Rattus norvegicus: one gene and its partners. The protein of the gene in region 2 purifies or fractionates together with the protein of the main gene of each other region. This does not show direct contact. Links are inferred from orthologs where the notes say so. Each region holds a gene or a part of one and is shown on either strand. Other genes may lie near its edges.

The links.
Region 1: the proteins of Akap9 (region 2) and Cdk5rap2 purify together in Homo sapiens (affinity purification with western blotting; 4 studies listed by BioGRID and IntAct, with this or other methods). This does not show direct contact. The link is inferred for Rattus norvegicus from reciprocal best matches to the Homo sapiens genes AKAP9 and CDK5RAP2.
Region 3: the proteins of Akap9 (region 2) and Prkaca purify together in Homo sapiens (affinity purification with mass spectrometry; 7 studies listed by BioGRID and IntAct, with this or other methods). This does not show direct contact. The link is inferred for Rattus norvegicus from reciprocal best matches to the Homo sapiens genes AKAP9 and PRKACA.
Region 4: the proteins of Akap9 (region 2) and Csnk1d purify together in Homo sapiens (affinity purification with mass spectrometry; 4 studies listed by BioGRID and IntAct, counting the BioPlex papers as one, with this or other methods). This does not show direct contact. The link is inferred for Rattus norvegicus from reciprocal best matches to the Homo sapiens genes AKAP9 and CSNK1D.

Annotation. Positions count from the first base shown.
Region 1 is NC_086023.1:88,845,894-88,850,921, forward strand, and holds part of Cdk5rap2 (CDK5 regulatory subunit-associated protein 2), read right to left. Parts: intron 4,197-5,028; coding exon 3,623-4,196; intron 1,834-3,622; coding exon 1,601-1,833; intron 1-1,600. UniProt on the Homo sapiens protein: Potential regulator of CDK5 activity via its interaction with CDK5R1. Negative regulator of centriole disengagement (licensing) which maintains centriole engagement and cohesion. Involved in regulation of mitotic spindle orientation.
Region 2 is NC_086022.1:31,108,892-31,113,919, forward strand, and holds part of Akap9 (A-kinase anchor protein 9), read right to left. Parts: intron 3,678-5,028; coding exon of another isoform or gene 3,603-3,677; coding exon 3,389-3,602; intron 1,429-3,388; coding exon 1,355-1,428; intron 207-1,354; coding exon 71-206; intron 1-70. UniProt on the Homo sapiens protein: Scaffolding protein that assembles several protein kinases and phosphatases on the centrosome and Golgi apparatus. Required to maintain the integrity of the Golgi apparatus. Required for microtubule nucleation at the cis-side of the Golgi apparatus.
Region 3 is NC_086037.1:41,061,849-41,066,799, forward strand, and holds part of Prkaca (cAMP-dependent protein kinase catalytic subunit alpha), read right to left. Parts: intron 4,090-4,951; coding exon 3,963-4,089; intron 3,880-3,962; coding exon 3,784-3,879; intron 3,653-3,783; coding exon 3,530-3,652; intron 1-3,529.
Region 4 is NC_086028.1:106,726,713-106,731,740, reverse strand, and holds part of Csnk1d (casein kinase I isoform delta), read left to right. Parts: exon of another isoform or gene 1-128; coding exon 129-300; exon of another isoform or gene 301-1,425; coding exon 1,426-1,565; exon of another isoform or gene 1,566-4,550; coding exon 4,551-4,583; 3' UTR 4,584-4,613; exon of another isoform or gene 4,614-5,028. UniProt on the Homo sapiens protein: Essential serine/threonine-protein kinase that regulates diverse cellular growth and survival processes including Wnt signaling, DNA repair and circadian rhythms. It can phosphorylate a large number of proteins.

The DNA of each region.
Region 1 (5,028 bases), on a different chromosome or scaffold from region 2:
GGCCTTTATGCCTCGAAGAAAATGAGGTTCTACACTTGTGCCATCTGCTAGCTCTGAAACATTCCTACCTCCAGAGGAAACAACAAGTGGGATGTTTGTCAGACTCTGGCTCAGAGAGAAGTCATTGAGTAGCCAGCTGAAGAGAGAGAACAGCTGCTGCGACAGGCACTCTCCCCTTACCTCCCTGGCCACGACCAGGGCTGTCTAAAGAAAACACAACAAAACATTATGGGCTTGGTCAATCCAGTTTTATCTGTCTGCCATCCAGTTACTTCTGCACTAGTAAGTGAGAGCAAGCTTATTTAGAACACATGAGCCAGAGAGAACAGCCTTGATAAAGCTGCAAATAGGCTAGTGTGCCAATATGCTGGTCTCAAAGCTCTTAAGGACAAATGCCAGGAAACCAGTCTACAAGGTCTTTAGGAAAACCACTAATGGCTACCAGATGGGTGAACTACCCTGTGTTTATCCTGGAATTAAACTGTGCATTCTGGGACCAAGGTGAACTACCTGTTCTCTGTGTACGGAGGCAGAAGAGTAGTTAAACCTGGCATTACCAAGTGCCCTGTGTCTGTGGGAAACTACTTCCTCAGGTAAGGCCAGGTTCCTAACCTGTAAAAGCAGAGTTCTTACGGTTTAGCCTCAATTTACCATTAACACATCTGATCAGAAGTACTTGGTCATGAGAACCACATGTCACTCACAAAGCCAAGACCTAACAAAACCAAGTGTGGTGGTTTGAATCAGAATGGCTCCCAGAGGCTCATAGATTTGAATACTTAGCCCCCAAGAAGTGGCACTATTTGAGTGCATTATAAGGATTAAAAGGTGTGGACGTGTTGAAGGAAATGTGTCACTGGTGTTGGAGGTTTCAAAAGCCCATGCAAGGCCAATGTCATGCTCCCTACTCCCTATAAATCATGATGTAGTTCTCAGCTATTGTCTGTATTCTGCCATCTTCCCCACCATGATGACAATGGACTAAACCTCTGAAACTGTAAGCAAACTCCAAATACATGTTTTTTGTTTTCCATATGAGCTGCCTTGGTCATGGTGTCTCTTCATAGCAATAGGACAGTGACTATGACACTGAGTTATTGTCCAATTTTAAGGGCACTGTGATGCTTCAACCAAATAATGTCTACAACATCAAGAACACAAATAGATCTAGAGGGAACAGACTTATGCTAAGAGATCAGTTGTAAAACCCCAGCATGACCATTCATTCCCAACATGATCACAGATAAGGTACTTTCTCTCACAGACCACATTCTTCCACACCATAAAACTGGATCTACTCACTCACTTTCTCCCTATGAGAACAGAGAAAAAGGGAGCAGGAGAATGGGACAGTGATGTCAATGAGTGACAGGACTACTGCTGTCTTACAAATGTCCTGTCCAGTTCTTACCCAATGGGTGGCTGGGAAAAGCAAGGAGAAACAAGAGAAGCAAAGTGCAAAGACTATGAGAAAGAAGGCTGTTTGGGCTTAATGGCAGAACAGCCAGGTCAGTATGTACAGCAAAGGCAAGGAGTCAAATCTCCTGGTGTCCACTGAAGAAGTCACAGAGAGTCACACTGAGTGCCTCTACCTACTTACCATGGAGAAACAGCTTCTCCAGTTGCTCTAGCAGTCCAGCACACTGTGTTAGCTGCTCGCGGAAGCCCTCAGCCACACAACTGTCCACATCACTGGCCTGCAGAAGTTCCTCAAATGCCTTGATCATGGTGCTCATGTGTTGATGGCAAACGACACAGATATCATGACTATCCTTAATTTGCTGCCGCTGAAGAGAGAGCTCCCTTGCTTGGGACTGAACCAATGAATCGTATCTGATAAAAGAGGGAAGGAAAATGTGTGTGTCATTTTAGAATTGAATTTTTGTGACCTTAACACTAATTGGAAAAATGACAGAGCATAATTTCTGGAAGCCCGCAGCTGTACAAGCATATATACTTTAGAAAAATTGAAACTGTACAAGGTCACTCCTTCTTTGAGTTCAAACAGCCAACAAATGCTTAAACAGAGATTCTGCTGCAATATTTGTAACCGTAGAAAGCCCCCAATTAAAGCATAGATTGGCAAGGACTCAGGAGAACAATTAGTTTCCATACACTCTTCAAAGACACTATTCTGAGTTGTAGAAACAATTGCCACAAGGGTCAGGGACCCACTGAAAATTCTCACCAAGTACAAATATGTATATACCAAGGGTAAAAAAATAGGGCTGCTTGCCTCCAACTGAGAGAGTCGGACTCCCGGCTACCACCTTACTGACTGACTAGGTCCCATCATGGGAACAAGTTATCTTAGGTCATCTGGTTCTCCCAGGCTTCTAACAAATGGATTCATTAAAAAAAAAAAAAAAAAAGGAAAAGGAAAAGGAAATATTTCTCAAAGGTATTTAGAGGTAAAGCTTTGCTTCTTAAACACACAGCTTGTGAAGATTTATTATACAATACTGCCCCCTCACCACCAGGTGCCACTCTTCTCTATGCAGTCCCAGGAGTTGTTAAGAGCAAATCAAGGAGGAAAAGCAAACAGCAAGCTGGATCTAGAGTGGCCTGACAGGCACTTCTGTTCACCATGACCACTGTTAATACCAATAACCTACAAGCAAATCACATGACAGCCATCTTAGGTAGGGAACAGTATGGGCTTGAACCCTGGCAGTGGCTCTGACCATGGGCAAGTCACAGAAATCTTTTGAGTCTCAGTTTCTCTGTCTAACAAAAACAAGTTGAGAATGCTCCTGCTCAGTGTGTCTGGAGTTAAATAGTCAGTTCCTTCCCAGTGGGGTGGTTCATGCTTGCAATCCCAGCACTTAGGAGGCAGAGGCAGAAAGATTATGAATTTGAGGGCAGCTTGAACTACGTGGTGAAACTCCATCTCAAAACAAAATGAAACAAACACTTCCGAGCCTGGGGGCTGATACAACAGCCCATCAATAAATAACTTTCCCTCAGTCTTGCTGCTTGGGTAGCCTTGAAAAAAAAATCATTCTAGCTCTTGACAATTCAGAACAGTGCTTTTCTCAAATTAGTAACGAATGAAGGTCAAATTTACAGACTATCCCATTTTTTTGCCGTATCTCATGAAGCCAATGTACATATTTATAACCATAAAGCATTATCTTCATGACCCAAGAATTTCTTGCTTTCAACACAGGCTTATTTCTCTAAAATGACCTTAAAGGGTAAAGATATGGAAAGCATTTATATTCCTCCTAACCTGCTTAGGACATCCATTTTATTTCCACAACATGGCAAAAGCCAATAATAGAGTTCAAAAATAAACACGGCAGGCAGCTCAGTAAACACACTGCAATCCCTGACTGATTGCCGTGGAGTTCTATGCTGAGTCCTCAGCCCAAGCAGGGCAACATCTGTCCTGCCCATCTCAGAAGCTGGCCAGCCCCTAATGCGCATATGGACAGAGTAATGCTGTGCAGCCTAGCCTTTCACTCTGATCCCGGCTGCCTGAAGCCCGGCGAGTTGTCCCCAGGGTACACTATCCACCCATGGAGCACCATTCCTTCAGCAGCTTCTGGGCTTCTACCTAGCAACAACCTAGGAAACCTACAAGCCTAATGAGGCGGGCTGAAGCAGGAATAGGATGTACCTTGATGGCGAGAGGTCTCGGAACTTGTTCTGCAGGTTATGGATTTCACCGAAAAGTTCCAAGTTCAAATCCTGCTCCTTCTGTAGCTCCTGCTCCTGTTCTACCAGCTGCTGCTTGAGGCTCTCTAGCATCTTGCCATCAATTATTTCTGGGGTTAGTGGACGGAGGATTTTCATGTGCTTCACATATCTTACTTGGTGCAAACTTGAAAATGTCATCTCTTCTTCATCGATGTGGCCCTTAGGCTTGTTCAGGCCATCTTGGGCCCCTTCTGTCCCACACAAAACTGTAATAATAGCCTCACTGCACTGAGAATGCTTCTGTAGCTGGACAATGATGTTCCGGTAGCCTTCCAGCTCAGTTTGCAAGTCATGGATTTTCTGTTTTAAGGCTTCTGTATCATCAGGGAGATTGATATTCTCAGACTGGTCAGTTCCAACCACACTGACTTTAACAGAGAGCTGACTCTTGGAATCCAGGTAAGTGGCTATGGAGGGTGGGCCTAAGAAGTCTTCAAGGTTCTCTTTGCATGCTGGTAATAAGGCAAGGTCATCAGGTGGGCAGATTTCAGAATCTGAAAATCAAATACTAATCTTTGTCAGTGACTCCTTTGATGCAATCAACTTTTTAACTCTAGAGTTTCCCACAGTTGAATTCTGAATCTTAAATGTCCCCAAAGTCTGTATATTAAAAGCCTGGTTTATAGAACTACTGGAAAATTGGGCTGTGTTTAGGAGGTGGGGCCTTGTAGAAGAAAATCATCACTAAAGAGGACCTTAAGACCCTATCACCAAAACCCTGGTTCCTAAATGGTTCATAGACACTATAAGGTGAACAGCTATACTTTATCACATGCCCCCACCATGATATTATCCGTCACCAAAGGCTCAGAGTGACAAGTCCAGGCAGTCATGGATTGGACCTATGAACCAAAATACTTTGTTCTTTCAAGTTAATAGCCTTAGAAATGTTATCATGTTCTAGAAAGCTGACTAGCATACTATTTTACCACTCAATCCATCCTCTTTCTCATGTTGGAAGCAACACTGCTACATACATCATCCAGTGTGTGTCCCCCCCAAAGTCACCAGACCCTTCTGCCCACATCATACTGTTTCACAGTTCCATGCTTTTGCATGCACTGTCTCCTCAATCACTATTTGTCCTTCCCTACTCAGGACTAATTTTCCTTCTATGAGCTCACCTTTCGACTGTGCACTTCTCTGTGTACAATTATGTGCCTGCTTGTCTATGTATCACATGCCTGGAGGTACGCATGCAGGTCAGGAAAGAGTTTCCTTTGTAAGTGGGTGTTCTTATCCACTGAGACATCTATCTAGGCCTGAAAAATCTCTTCCTTAAAATCAAAAGACCTGTTCTCTGCCACTGGCTCTGCTACTGTGTTT
Region 2 (5,028 bases):
ATTAAAGTTAAGTTTATAAGCAGTTGACTTAAGCAAAGTAAATACTGTTTACAGCACAGTAAGCTTTTACCTTGGACTTCGTATCTATACTCTCGTAATTCTGGGCTTTGATTTTGAGAAGTGTAAACACCAGAATTCTCTTTCTCTTCTATATTCATTTCACATTTTAAAGGAGTATAACATTCATCGAAAACATTGTTTAGGGTCTGTTAACAAAATTGAATATTTTAAATTAAAATTTTAATTTCTTCTCCTAAGTATTAGAAAACATTAACCTAAATGCAAAAGAAGTTCGAAATTGTATGAATGGATTCTGAATTCCCTCTCCCTCCATATATGAAATCAATCTACAGGAAAAACATTCTCTTTGGCATGAAATTATTCTTTTATCAGGAAAATATGGATAATCTTAATTATACAAAATATTATGGATTTTTCTGTTCTCTTTTAATGTTGAAATATACAATGAAGAGTAAGCCATCACTCCCTCACATAGTTCCCACTCTGATGTGATTGCTCTGCCATAAAAATATCTCATTACTATGTCAACTATCTTGAACATCGCAAGGAGAGAAAGTTCAAAGATGACGATTTGAGAGGTCTGTCAAACCTACCAAAATGAAAATCCATCAAGGAGGAGGTTATACTAATGTCCTTTCAATAATATGCCAGAGTATTTTCTGTAGTCTGCACACACACACACAACGTTAAAAGTATCCAGCACCATGTTCCCCAGAGAAACTGAAAATTCCATCATGTAAGACGCCATTTCATGTTCTATGACCTGACAAGCTGTCCGATTTAGTTTTACCTTTGTTTCTCACTCAACTGGAAATAACCACCAAAGATTTAAAAGACTTAAAAGCCAACTTTTAAAGCTGCTGCCATTTCTTGCATGTTTCAAAGTTAAGCACGCAGTCAATAACTGGCATACTGCTACTTCAGCACAGCCACAAAGGTAAAGTTTTAATGAACAAACTGTTTGCTTGGAAGGTTAAATAGTAACTCTCTGACAAGAACAATGATTATAGAGTCTGCACTATTGGAGACACAACTTATCTCAATTTCTTTGTTCCTTTTTGTGGTGCCAGAAACCCAACTCAAGACCTCAAACACAACAGGCAAGCGCTGGGTCCGAGTCACATCCATAGCTCTAATGTCCTATTGTTCCAAACTGGCTATCAGAAAAAAGTCAAATGCTCCTTTAAGCTCAAAACTCAGGAATACTTGGTAAGTACAGTTCTAGACGCAAGAGATTTGGGCAAACATGAGTGGATTATTCTGTTCATTAAATCAGTAGCAATGTTGATTTTGGTAACTCTCATCCAAAGCCTCTTTTAAAGTAACATCTTACCTTTGAGATGTGAAAGCATTTCTCAGACACTGCCTTTTGAAGCCGTTCAATGAGCACCTGTAAAGGCTCGTTACCTAGCAGAAAACACCACACGTGAGCTATTTGCTGCACATATGCGAGTAATGCTGTCATATTTTAATGCTATCACCGAAGCGTCCCTAGAATAAGACTAGAAGCTTCCCTAAAATAAGACACATTTCAATTTCTTCCAAATGTGCAATGTAACTGTCTCAGATAAATTTCTAAGATTTGCAATTTCTATTCTATAAAAGGGTTTATACATTCAGGATTCTACATTCCAACCCAAGAAATATATCTGTATACTTATCCATTAAATGCATCCTTGCAAACCTCACAGCTCTCACAAACGAGCTGCTATCTTTTTGTGCAGGAGCAGAGTTCAGTGGGAGGGTAGTGGGTACTCTGACTAGTATGTGCAAGCCTTGGGTCTCAGCCCTAGCACTGCAAAATTAAATTCATTAATTAATTATTAAATATATATATTTTCTGTTCTCTTCTCTTTTCAGAAACACTAATCACCACTCACTAAACTGCTTTATCACCTAGTAATAGAACACTCGACTGTCAACAGAAAACACTAGACAGGCTATCTGAAGAGGTATCAATACAAACATACAAACAATGCATGCAAAATCTTACTGCATTAAAAAACAAAAACAAAAAGAAAACTCTGGAAACGAAAAACTGCCATCCTTCTTTAAGTGACTCTTGAAATCTTAACTTTGTTCAACAGCGCAATTCCACCGGAGACTTAAGGACCTCATTCCTAATGGTAAATATGGGAGCCAACAGTGGCTAAAGGACAGGAAGCCAGAGTAGAAAATTACAAATCCTCAACAACAGCTGCCCCCTAACAGGTTCTGCCTTCCACTGTGGTCTCTTCAGTGTCCTTCCCACGGTGCCACCAAGGCTTTCTGCTTACCCTCCAGTCTCCAGGGCATCTCACTCTACTTCTGGCCTTAGGGACTCTGGTCTTTCAGCTCCACACAGACTGTATTTTTTTTTTTTTTTAGCCTAAAAGTCTCCCCTGGGTTTTGGCCCACTCCTTTTAGCTGATTAGTGATTAGTGACTATTTCTTTTCCAAGTTAACATATATACTCGGAGTATTCTAAACTGACTATATTGTCTATGGTCTGCTCCTCTTTGTGACTGAAACCACATAGGCAAGAGAAGTCAGAAATATTCTCAACTCCTCCCACCTTTGCTGCTGCTATAAATTGACAGTGACAGCATTTAGCTCCGACTGTTAAGTTTCACTGTCATTTTGTTTCCGGTCTCAACATTTATTGGCTATAGCTAAGGTTGTTTAACTGATCTGCCCATCAATTACTTAATTTTTCCCAATTAAGCACATGGGTGTCCTCGTAAATAAAAATATCACTGTTGCCTCCTCTACTTAAAAGCCGTAGCAGGAAGTTTAAGCCTCCTCCTCCGAGGTATATGGGTCTTCTAATCAGGCACTGGCCACTCGCTTCAGCTTATCCCTCACTACTTTCTTAAACAACTTGAACTTTCAGTTCTCCAAAATGGGTCTCTCTCTGCAGGTCTATACTTAACATTTCAGAAACGCCCCACAGTTCCCAACCCAACTGCTCTGCTCCACCGTTACAGAACACTCATCGCCTCTCCCTCTTCCTCCCATGCTGTGTATTCACCCTGGAGTGATCTGGGCTACTTGTCAGTCTGGGATACTTCAGGAAATAGTCCAGCCAATGATAAACGCATGCCCTAGACACACAGCCAATCTCTCTCCACTGGTGCTTCCTCCAGTATGGTTTAGCACGGCTCCGTTCACAGTCCGTTTCTGGGCACTTTCTGAATGGCTTTATTTCCATGAGGAAATGAGGCAGTGAGCTTTGCTGTCCCGGGCACCTCAGTGACATGAATAAACAAATCCGGGAATCAGATGGAGAGCCCCTTACCCCACGGGGCCGGAGACAAGGCCAGGATTACCAAATGATACTTTAAGGGACGCTTATGTGTTTCGTGGACATTAGTCAGAGGCTGGTTACCTGTCTCCTGTACTTTAACATGCTGGAGCTGGCACTGGTGTATCTTATGAAGCTCGTCGATCTTTTTCTGTTGAGCGGAAACGAGCTCATCTTTAAGGCTGCAAAGAGCTTCCTCTCTCTCCTTCTCCATATATGCACGAACCTGATCCGCATGAGTTGAATAAACCACAAAAAGGCACAGGCGCTGGGCTTCCATCTGCAGCCTCAGATCGTCCTTGAAGTGAACAGGCGTAAGCATGAGGAAAAGCTGAAGTAGCAGCTCGGATTCGATTTCTCTACATGGACTGAACTTCAAAGGAGAAAACACGTCACAGTTTTCAAACTCGTGTGGAGGAGCTGGTCTGCTTTAGAGACCTCTTCCAGATGCACCAAACCGCTTGTCTTGCTCAAGAAAGACAGTATCATGTTTCTATTGATTAACTCAGTGTGATGGTAAATAGGTTGGTATAGCTAGCAAGAATCTCTTAAATAATGTTTCACAGCTACAAAATGAAAATAATGTAAATAAATACCAATGTACTCAAAACTCAAATTAATAAATCCCAATGTCTTGTCATTTTTTTCTTCTATCTATCTAAAGCTCCTTAAAATAAGAAAGAAAACATTAGAGACAAAATTAAATTCATGATGTTTGATTATTTCTTGCTCACAAGGAACTGTTACCAAAAAAATCTGAAATGTGTCTACTATCATTTCCCCAATACACGTAAACAGCACATTATAGTGTGTATTTCTGTGTACTGATGCAAAGGCACTCATTTTGTAAATTCCTTTGCATTTTTTCTATCAAATATAAAAATATCAATAAAAATGCTTCTGACATCAATGCGTGTATGCGACAGGCTCATTCATTTTGATTGCAGGGCAGCATAAATGAACAATCCACAACTGGAGCACTTCCCTTGGTGGAGACCAACTAGACTTTCGCAAGCTTGGGTCCTTTAAATCAAAAGGTGGTTAATTATTACAGATAAGCACCTACGACAAGTGGGTGAACGCTTGGCGAGTGAGCGTCCAGGATGCATCAGACTCATCTGCAGCTCTTGCTGACACGAGTCCATGGTGTCTGCCCTCTGACCTGGTTCAGGAAGCTTAAGAAATACTCGTTCTGCCTGTTTCCAAGTGTCGCTGCCGTCAGGAACGTAACTGCTGGTCAGAGCTGATGCACAGGCCCAGCTTTAGTAGCCAAATAATATTTTATATAATTGAACTAAGATAAATGTGGATGCTTACGTCCTTAGATCCGTATCAGTAAGTCAGTTATTTTGCCAATGGGATGGTGATAAAATGCTATGTTGTGGGTCATTCCTGTGTGGTTTTATGATTGAGCTTCTGACCTCACTTCTGGACTGTGACCTGGAAGTCTGAACCACCTGTAATCCTTTCCTCTCCCAAGGTTCCACTCTGCACATCTACAGGTTGTTATGAATGTCCTTGAGGGATGGATGTGTACAGGGCTTTGTATGTTTAGGTGGGCAATTATATCTTATTGATTAGATCAAAGGCTATTGTGTGTTCTTTCTTGTGACGAACTAAGTTTAAGAGCGTATGCGGCAGCTGGAACACCGAGCCACCACGGAATTAGGATCTATACTTCTGCATGGTGGCAGCCCGCCTCGGGAACTGAATGTGTAGAGGGA
Region 3 (4,951 bases), on a different chromosome or scaffold from region 2:
CCCATGCCTTTAATCCCAGCACTCAGGAGGCCCAGGCAGGTGGATCTCTGTGCCTTTGAAGCCAGTCTGGTTTACAGAGGGAGTTCTAGGACAGTCAGGGCTACACAAACAAACCGGCTTGGGGGGGGGGGGGTTGACAAAACAAACAACAAAACCACTCAAAAACCAACAAAAAGATGGCTTGTTGGAGCGTGCTAGCCTTCACTGATGATCCTAACATTCAGGCAAGGGCAGGTGGATCTCTGTGATGTGAGTTCAAGGCCAGCTTGGTCTGTATGGCAAGATCAGCCAAGAGTACATAATAAAACCTTGCCTCGGGTTGGGGATTTAGCTCAGTGGTAGAGTGCTTGCCTAGCAACTGCAAGGCCCTGGGTTTGGTCCTCAGCTCTGGGGGGGGGGTGGGGGTGGGGGGAGAAGGGAAGACCTTGCCTCAACAAAATCCCAAAAACTCATTGCTGGACCAATGAATGGCTTTGTTCTTGCAAAGGTCCCGGGTTTCATTCCCAGCATCTACATGTTGGCCTCTAACCACTGTTAAGTCCATTTCTAGGGGATCTAATGCCTTTGGCCTCCAGGGGTCCTGTACTCATGTCACGTACATACAGACACACAAAGTTAAAAAACACACAAAGTTACATAGTTAAAAAATAAAGTAGGGTGGGGTTGGGGATTTAGCTCAGTGGTAGAGCGCTTGCCTAGCAAGCGCAAGGCCCTGGGTTCAGTCCCCATCTCCGAAAAACAAAAACAAAAACAAAAACAACAAAAACAAAACAAAACAAAAACTAAAAAAATAAAGTAGGGAAACTATCAGCAGAGATGGCTTGGTGGAGCTAGCACTACAGCTCTGGGCCAGGTCAGGAGCCCAGCATACACAGGCCTCCACTTTTAGGCCCCAGTGGCCATGCAAACAAAAACCATGTTGAGTGTCTTCCTGAGTTTGCTGGCTTGGGAATTCTGGGTAAGGCCTGAGAATCTACAACCCCAAGGTCACAGGGAACAGAACTGTGGGAGGTTCTGTCTCAGGTCTGTAGACTTGAAATGTACCCTCAGCTGGGATTCTGCAGGCCTCTGAGTGGGGTCTGAGAGCTTCTAAAGTAAGGATAGTTCCTCAGTCTGGATAAGATAGCTTGTATCCATCCAGTCGTGCACCTCCAGAGGCCCTTAGCCCTGTATGCAGCCTCTGGATTTACACCCATAAGAACTAGCTTCTAGGAGGCAGAGGTGGTGGCAAACCCTGTCGCTCCCACTCTTGGAAGACTAATGCAGGAAGGTTGAGTTCCAGCGCTACATATTGAGACCTTGTAAGTCAATCAGTCAGTCAGTCAGTTAATCAAACAAACACCCACAAAAGGGCTAGCGGTGGCTCAGCAGGTAAAGGTACCTGTTGCTGAGCCTAATAATCTATCTAAGTTTGCCACCCACATCCCACATGGCAGGAGGAGAGGACTGACTCCTTTACGCTGTCCTTGACACACACAGCCAGTCTCAGTGCCACAAACACAATGAAGAGATGTAAAAAACTGAAGGGAACAAGAACCCAGGGTGAGGAAGAAAAGAACAAGGAAGGAAGAAATGAGGAAAGGGAATGGAGACTTGCAAGAAAAGCAAAAGGAAGGAAAGAAACAAAGACAAGAACCCAACTGGTCCCTGTTAAGCCTTCCCGGTGCTGTGTGACCTTGGCCAGAGCCCTTAACCTCTCCAGGCCTGCACTGGTCTCAATGACATGGGGCAGATATCCCAGGGTTCTGTGTGACAAGATAACAGTCAGGGCCCGTGGGAACTGTAAATTGCTACAATGGAGATTATACTCAACCATGTGTGGTGGCGCATGCCTGTCCACCCAGGACTTGGGAGGCAGTGGCGGCACCCAGAGTTCAAGGGTAACCTTGACTATGTATGGAATTGGGAGTCCGATTTCAATACAACAAAATGTCCTCCCGTCTTCCTCAGTCTTCTATGGAGTTTTTCTGTACTCTCTCAGCCACCATCTAGGACATTTCAACTTTTCATTTTGGGTTTCTTCTGAATGATATTCTGTAACAGGTCCCAAAATTTGTTTCCCTAACCTTACAGCAATCCTGCCTCAGTCTTCTGAATGCTAGGGGGAAAAGCACTTACTAAGGCTCATTTAATCCCAGCAGAGGCAAAGGCAAGCAGATCTCTGTGAGTTTGCTGGCATACTTAGTAAAATCTAGACTACCTAGGGCTACAAAGTAAGAACCTGATTTAAAAAAAAAAAAAAAGCAAAACACAAAAAACAAAAACAAGACAGAAAAAAGAAAAGAGAAAAAAGAAGAAAAGCACATGGCTGTCTTTCTTCTGTCTCATGGGAGGTGTGCACATCCACTCCTAGGTGATAGTGTGTGCTCAGCCCCGAGGACCACAGCATAGAATACTGTCTCTCCTCCAACCTCCCAGACAGGCAGATGGATAGATAAAATGAGGTTCAGAGAATCTAAGTGACTTTGTCTCAGTTTCACCCAATAGTTTGTCACAGGATTGGGACTTGGGGAGCAGTGAACCACTTATGGAGACTTGGAGCCAGCCAGTAGCTGTTGTCAAAGACAATAAAACAGGTGGGGTGACAGCCGGGCTCCCCTGCTAGGTAAGGCTGGTGAAGGCAGAGCTGTGACTCTCAGCGCTGCTCCCCAACCCCACTGAGGCTTCCACTTGATTCCCATGGTGCAATCTTAGACCAACCACATGCCCTTTCTGTACCTTAGTATCCTTACCTCTCCTACAGGGGTGCCATTTCTTCAGGATAAGGCTAGAGGGTGAGCCAGGGCTAATGAATGGTGAGGACAGGAATGGGCCTCCTGAAAGGTCCGGTCTTGGGCTCTGTCTTTGTCATGGACAAGGTTTTACCCTGTAGGCCCTGTGCCAGGTTGGTCTGGCACTTATGCCAATCCTCTGCCTCGGACTTCTGAAGAGTGCAGAACGTTTAAGTCTACACTGTCATGCCAGGGTCACTAAGGAGACTACATCTGGAAGGAATAGGCAGTTGCAGGTCCTGCCCACAGCAGGGTGAGGCTTGCTGGTATGGCTGGGGTCGACACCTGGGAACTGAATGAGTTTGGTTTGTTCTTCTGGTCTGGTGTCAAGGTAGCAGCTTCTGTAGCCAGAGCTCTGATGTGGGTCAGCTTGGGACATGCTTGGGAGTTCAGTCCTGTCGTTCGTGTGTGTGTGTGTGTGTGTGTGTGTGTGTGTGTGTGTGTGTGTGTGTGTTACACACATGCTAGACTACAACTCTCCCGCTGAGCCACACCCCTGTCCCCTTCACGATAGACTCCGGGCGAGTGCTCTATGGCTGAGTCATATACCCCTGTCCTTGATTTTCTGTTTCACTATTTCTTTAGCCCATGTTATCCTGGAAATCTCTATGCAGCCCAGATTGGCCTCAAACAAGATTTTCCTGCCTCAGGCTCGACTGTTAAGACAACAGGTCTGTGACAGCACATTTTGCCTTGTGAGGACATGTGACAGGCTGTTTTGATTCCTTCCAGGGATGAACTCCATCTCCTGGCCTCACCTTCCCAGAGACGATTTTCTCATAGATCTGGATAGGCTGGTCAGCGAAGAAGGGCGGGTAACCAGCAGCCATCTCGTAGATGAGGACCCCGAGAGCCCACCAGTCCACAGCTTTGTTGTAGCCCTAGAGCAAGATGGGGGGGGGGGGGCGTTCGATGAGGCAAGAAGGTGAAGAAGGAGATGACTCTTCAGGGGCAGGGCGGGCTAATGAGGTGGAGTAGGCCTCAGGGGTGGGCAGGCTGGAGAGGTGCCTACTTTGCTCAGGATAATCTCGGGGGCCAAGTACTCGGGGGTCCCACACAAGGTCCAAGTTCGGCCTTTCACACGCTTGGCAAAACCGAAGTCTGTCACCTGTAGGCACAAGAATGAGCAGTTGGCAGAGAGAAGGGCTGCAGGTTCCAACTGTGCCCTCCAGTGCCCTCCCCCGCAGGTACCTGAATATAGCCCTGCTGGTCGATGAGAAGGTTCTCGGGCTTCAGGTCCCGGTAGATGAGGTCCAGGGAGTGCAGATACTCAAAAGTCAAGACGATCTGCGCCGCGTAGAAACGGGCGTGGGGCTCACTGGTGGGACAAGCCGGGAGGGGATGTGTGGGTGAACATGACCACATCCCCTCTGTGTGCCCACAGAGCAAGATACCCCATGTCTAGCTAATCAAAATGTAGACTAAAGGCTAGAAATGCCACATACCAGTTGTCCCAGTTATGTGGGAGGCTGAGGTAGGGGGACTTCGTGTGCCCAAGATTTCAAGGACAGCGTGACAGACACCCAAACTCTATTGTAAAAACTGGGGAGCCTGACATGGCGGCACATATCTGTCACTATAGCACTCTGAGAGGCAGAGGCAGAAGCATTAGCATATCTGAGGCTAGCCTGGGCTACATCAGGTTCCAAGCCAGCCCAGAATACAAAGTGAGACCCTGTGTCGAATGAAACAACAAAAATCAATTCCCCCTGCCTGCCCCATTCTGAGCTGAATAATTCTATCCTAGATTTGGACTAGAAGGCTGAAAGGGACAGGTGCCTTGCTGAGGAAAGAAAGTGGTTTAAGGAAATTTTGTCTGCTGAGGAGTTAACTTACTTAAGAAAGTGGTTTAGGGAATTTTGTCTGCCAATCAGAGTTTTGGAAGAAAGTCATCAGGGTACAAACAATTGTCAACACAAAACCACCCTGCAGGGCAAGACAGCGTCGTATGTATACCTTGAGCCCAAGCACCCCAGAGGTCTATGAGTTCTAGGCCAACCTGGTCTACATGGCCAGCCAATGTTACATAAAACAAAACAAACAACAACAAAACCAACCCTGAACACCTCACAGGTTTGGTCATCAAGGACTACAGTTCTTGTTGACTTGTGTTTGTAAGAGGCAAAGCTCAAGTTTATAGAAAGACGGCAATTTGTAGAATTTAAAAGAGGAAACCCTGT
Region 4 (5,028 bases), on a different chromosome or scaffold from region 2:
AGTGCTCTTTTTTTTTTTTTTTTTTTTCCCAGAGCTGGGGACCTAGTCAGTGCTCCTAAAAAGACAAAACAAAACATCAAAACATCATGGCGACTTTCCTCCTGTTCATTCTAATCTTTCCTCATTAGGGTGCCAGCCGGGCTGCAGATGATGCTGAGCGGGAACGCCGGGACCGAGAAGAACGATTAAGACACTCCCGGAATCCAGCCACTCGTGGCCTCCCTTCTACAGCTTCCGGCCGTCTGCGGGGAACCCAGGAAGTGGCTCCCCCAACGCCCCTTACCCCTACCTCACATACGGGTAAGCACATCTCTTAGTGTTCTTCACCAAACTAGGACCTCTGTTTAATGTGTTGATGAATTGCTAACCACACCAGTATGTGGCCTCAAAAAGATTCTGGGTTAATCAGTTGAGGGTTGTGTCCCTACTTCATTCTGAAGAGTAGGTAGGACAGGGACATAGGACATGATGTTACCTTTAGACATGGCATGGTAACCCCAAAATTTGGGAAGAGGGCAGGGTGGCTTTCTGTGAACTTAAGGCCAGCCTGGTCTACATAGTGAGATCTTGTCTCAAAGGAAAGAAAGAAGTAAGAGTTGACTTTCATGGGACTGGAGAGATCACTCAGTGGTTAAGAGCTCTAGCTGTGGGGTTGGGGATTTAGCTCAGTGGTAGAGCGCTTGCCTAGCAAGCGCAAGGCCCTGGGTTCGGTCCCCAGCTCCGAAAAAAAAAAAAAAAAAAAAGGAAAGAAAAAAAAGAAAAAAATAAAAAAAGGAGCTCTATCTGTTCTTCCAGAGAACTTGGATTTATTTCCTAACACCCATAAGTAAGTTTTTACATTGAATCTCTAGTTCCAGGGGAACCAACATCATCTTCTGGATTTCTTGGACACATGGTACACAGAGATGTGTAGGGAAAACATCCACACACATAAATAATTTTTTAAAAGTTTAGCTCTCATAATATAGATATTCTCATAAATCTTTGAATACTCAGGGCGGACATGTATATTGCTAAACATTGGAGCCTTAAAATGCATTCATCTACTAGGGTTTCTTGGAATTGCTGAACATTTGAACTTGAGTTGGTTATGTGAAGCCCTGAGCCAGTTCAGTGGGTTCAGGATATGTACTTGGCTAGGGTCATTAGCCTCTGTTCATGAGATTTTTTTTTTTTTTAAGTTAATTACATGTGTCATGGGTGTTTGCCTCGTGTGTGCCCAGTGCCCTTGAAGGTCAAAAGATGCATCGAATCTCCTGGAACTGGAGTTAGAGGTGGTTTTTAGCCACCACCATATGGATACTGGAAACCAAACTGGGTCCTCTGTAAGAGCAAGTGTCTGTGACCATTGAGCAGTCTCTCCATCTAATGAGGTGTTAAAAGAGCCATGGATATTTAATAATTGTGGTTTCTCGTCCTCTCCAGCCAACACCTCTCCTAGACCCGTCTCTGGCATGGAACGAGAACGGAAAGTGAGTATGCGGCTGCACCGTGGGGCCCCAGTCAACGTCTCCTCATCTGATCTCACGGGCCGACAAGATACCTCTCGCATGTCCACCTCACAGGTATGCATGTAGAACTCACTGAGGCCTAGCTGCGCCAGACCCAAGTGTGGGGATGCATGTCCTTGTCACTGTGTGCTGACACCGGCTCTCCCTACCTTTCTTAAGAACTGACCTTTATAGGTTCATAGTCAGGAGTGGGGCAACATTTGTGAAAAATGTATTTCCTTTCTTCCTCCTACTTTTTTTCTTATTTTTATGGATGCTTAACCCATTGGAGCCTGCGACTTACTGGGTTTCTAAAGGGTTTGTTTCCTGGCTAGGACTGTAATGATTGGCTGTGAACTGTGTGTGAAGCTTTTCCTCTTACGCTCATTTCAGAGGGACATCCCTATCCCTGCCCCGCCGCCTTCCCCACCAGGGAAGACAAAATATGCCTGCTTGCTTGTACCTTTTGACGAGGAGATGTCTGTCATTGGCACACCTGGCTTTTATAACTACTTGTGTTTGCTAGCCAGGCTCTCCTTAGCAGAATACCAGGAAAGGCACTGGCTGCATAAGAAGGGTTCTTGTGAGCGATCGTTAGAGGTGCCAAGCTATAAAGTGTCATCTTCTGTTGACCTGTCTGTCTCTAATGAAGTACGCAGGCAAGGTAGGGTAGTTGGAGCTAGTTCCCAGTCCTCTTTCTCATAGATACTCCTTCATCTACATCTGAGTCCTCTTCCTCTCTGCTTTTGCTGCTTTTACATTCAACACTGCTTTGTTCAACAGACTAGAATAACTTCTGTCAACATTACACTTCTTTTTCTGAAGTAGGGTCTCCCACTTACGGGGCTAGGTGGGGTCAAGGATGAATTTGAGGAGGTTTTTGCCAGTACCACTGCCCTTCTAGAGCTTGTTTTGAAGCGCACTTGTATGGCAACACCTCTCTGGTTCACTGTGGGACCTAGTACAGTGTTTGCGTGGGGAAGGACTGAGCATGTATTGATTGAGTCAATGCAAGATCCCTGGGGCTTTCTGGGCTCAGGCCACACTGGGGACTGTACTGGTAAAAGGTGTTCCTGTGCGTTCCTTATTTGCCAGAAATTTCTGGGTTTGTATAATTTTCTCCTGAAAAGACAACAGATGTAGGAAGTTTGACAAGAGATCACTTAAGTTCTAGGCCTTGAGTTTTGACATCAGGAGATTGAGTTCCTCAGTGTGTACCATACCCTCTTAAGCTCGGCTTCCTTGTGGAAGACTTAACAGTTTGTTTTTCTTTGGTTTGGGTTTTTTTGTTTGTTTGTTTTGTTTTTGTTTGGGTTTTTTTGTTTTGTTTTTCACACAAATCCTTGTGTTTACATTAGGAAGTGGTTCAATTCTGCCTGTTCATCTACAACCTGTGGTGTGTTGGGTCCTGGCTGGGTTTGGACATATTTCATGCCAGCAGCTAGATAGAGGCTAAGGAAGTGATGGCAGGGATGGGCTCTTTTGCTTTTAATTCAGTATGAAAATGAAACATCTGTTAGTTTGGGATCCAGGAGGAAAATGGAAGAATCAGGTTTTGTGGATACCAAGAAGACATGGGATACAGCCCAGCTTCTTCCTGCCAAGGCTATGGCTTCCTTGGCCTTATGGTATCAGAATAGCACTTCCTTCCACATGATGAGTCTCTGATTGCTTGGTCTCTCATGTTTATGCATGGAGAACTATTAACAGGCTTTAACATGGTTGGGAGGCTCCCTTCCCGGAGTTTCTTAATTTCTCCTTGGCTGTGTTGGGGATTTTCTAGACTGTGACTCACACTCTGCCTTGTGTGGTTGTCTCTAGGGTGCTCATTTGTCTTCATAGCTGCACCTTTGGGGGAGTTGTGCTGTCACTAAAAGGCAACTACCCTTAAGAGGATCCTTGTTGTTACACAGTACCACCAGCATCAGTGTGCTCTTACTATATACGATGTGTTCTCTTCTCCAAATAATTCATCCCTCTCTAAACTCTTTTCTAGGCCCTCAGCCAGGCTTCTGTTCTGGCCTTTTAGAAATTAAAGGCTAGTTGGGGTTAGGCAGGCCAGTATTAACTTCTCCCTAGAGAGCAGGGGTTCAGGTAGGAGTGATGGCGTCACTTAGCACAGTGAACTCTAGCGAGCACCGTGCATATAAGCTCTTGTCACAACAGCACATACCTTTCACTCGGCCTCCTTACCTACAGCTGCTGGTTTTCTAATAGTTGGTGCATCCTATGAGATAACATGACACCCACAAGTCCATACACTTGGTTAAAGCCAGTCTTGACAAGCATCTGCTGCTCTTGTCCACCACCTCATGATGCTGACAAGGCATGGTACAGGTCACTGGAGTCACCGCTTCTTTCCTGTAGAACCCTGCCCTCACACTCACTGCCTGTAAGCAGCTGGGCTTCTTCAGCATCTTCCTTTCCCTGAAGGGCCCTGCATTGGGCAAGTCTTCTCGGGAGACCATGTTCCCATTTTCCCTGATATCTGTGAGTTTGCTCTCATTAGACAAAAGAACATAGGCTTTGCAGGGCATCTGATGAGTGCATCTCTATTGTTTTTCCTTCATTGAAAAGAAAGGTTTCCAGTCTAGCACAGTTCAAAATATGCCAGTTACTGCTTTTGATGCCTTACTTAGTACACACCTGCCCCAAAATAAGGTTCTAAGATCAGCCTGGTACTCTGTTAGGAGGGAGTGTATCCCTGGGTGCATCCTGGGAGGTGCTATCCCTTCCACCTGCTGCGTAGTGCTGTGAAACCAATCTATAGGGCTTCCTCAGCCTCGCCGTCCACTGGATTTCAGCTTTTCTAAAGGATGACATTAGGAAACAGCAGTGGTCACTTTTATCAAGGGTCATGAGAGACAGATGAGTTGTGCACTGTGTGGTGAGACTTGCCATTAGCTGGCGTCCCCAGAGTGTCTGTTCGTGTCTTGACTTGGTCAAGGCAAGGGACACATCAGGACTTGGGCTCAATACAAGAAGCCAGGGGACCAGGATCTCATGTGCTGGTGTGGCCAACAGGACACTTACCAACAGCTGTCTTTTCCCCCACCTCAGAATAGCATTCCTTTCGAACACCACGGCAAGTAGCTGCTCGTCTCCATCGGAAGGCAGCACTGGGTGAGTGTGCTCATGGTGGGGCTCTGCAAGTAGCAGGTGCCAGGCAAGGTGGGAGCAACTCCCCACCTGTCATCTGGGCTCGCTGGTGGGCTGGGCTTGCATGCCAAATGCTGGAGGTAGAGTGAGGCTTCTTCTGCTTGTTTTTCTTTGTGTGGGTTATGGAGTAGCAATGGTGAGCTACCCAGTCTGGGGATCAGTGGCATCCTTAGAATCTCTGGACTGAGTGACCTTAGAGAACCATCCTGCTGTGCCTTTGTCCTCTGGCCTCCTGTGATTATATTTAGTATGCTGGAACTGCCCTCAGTCCTGGCTCTGGCAGATGTGCTGGTAGCACATGTGTCTGTTGTACTCAGCTGAGTGGTCCATGCTTGGTGTTGGGCTTTCTTGAGCTCTTGCTACATGCAGACCCGGTGGT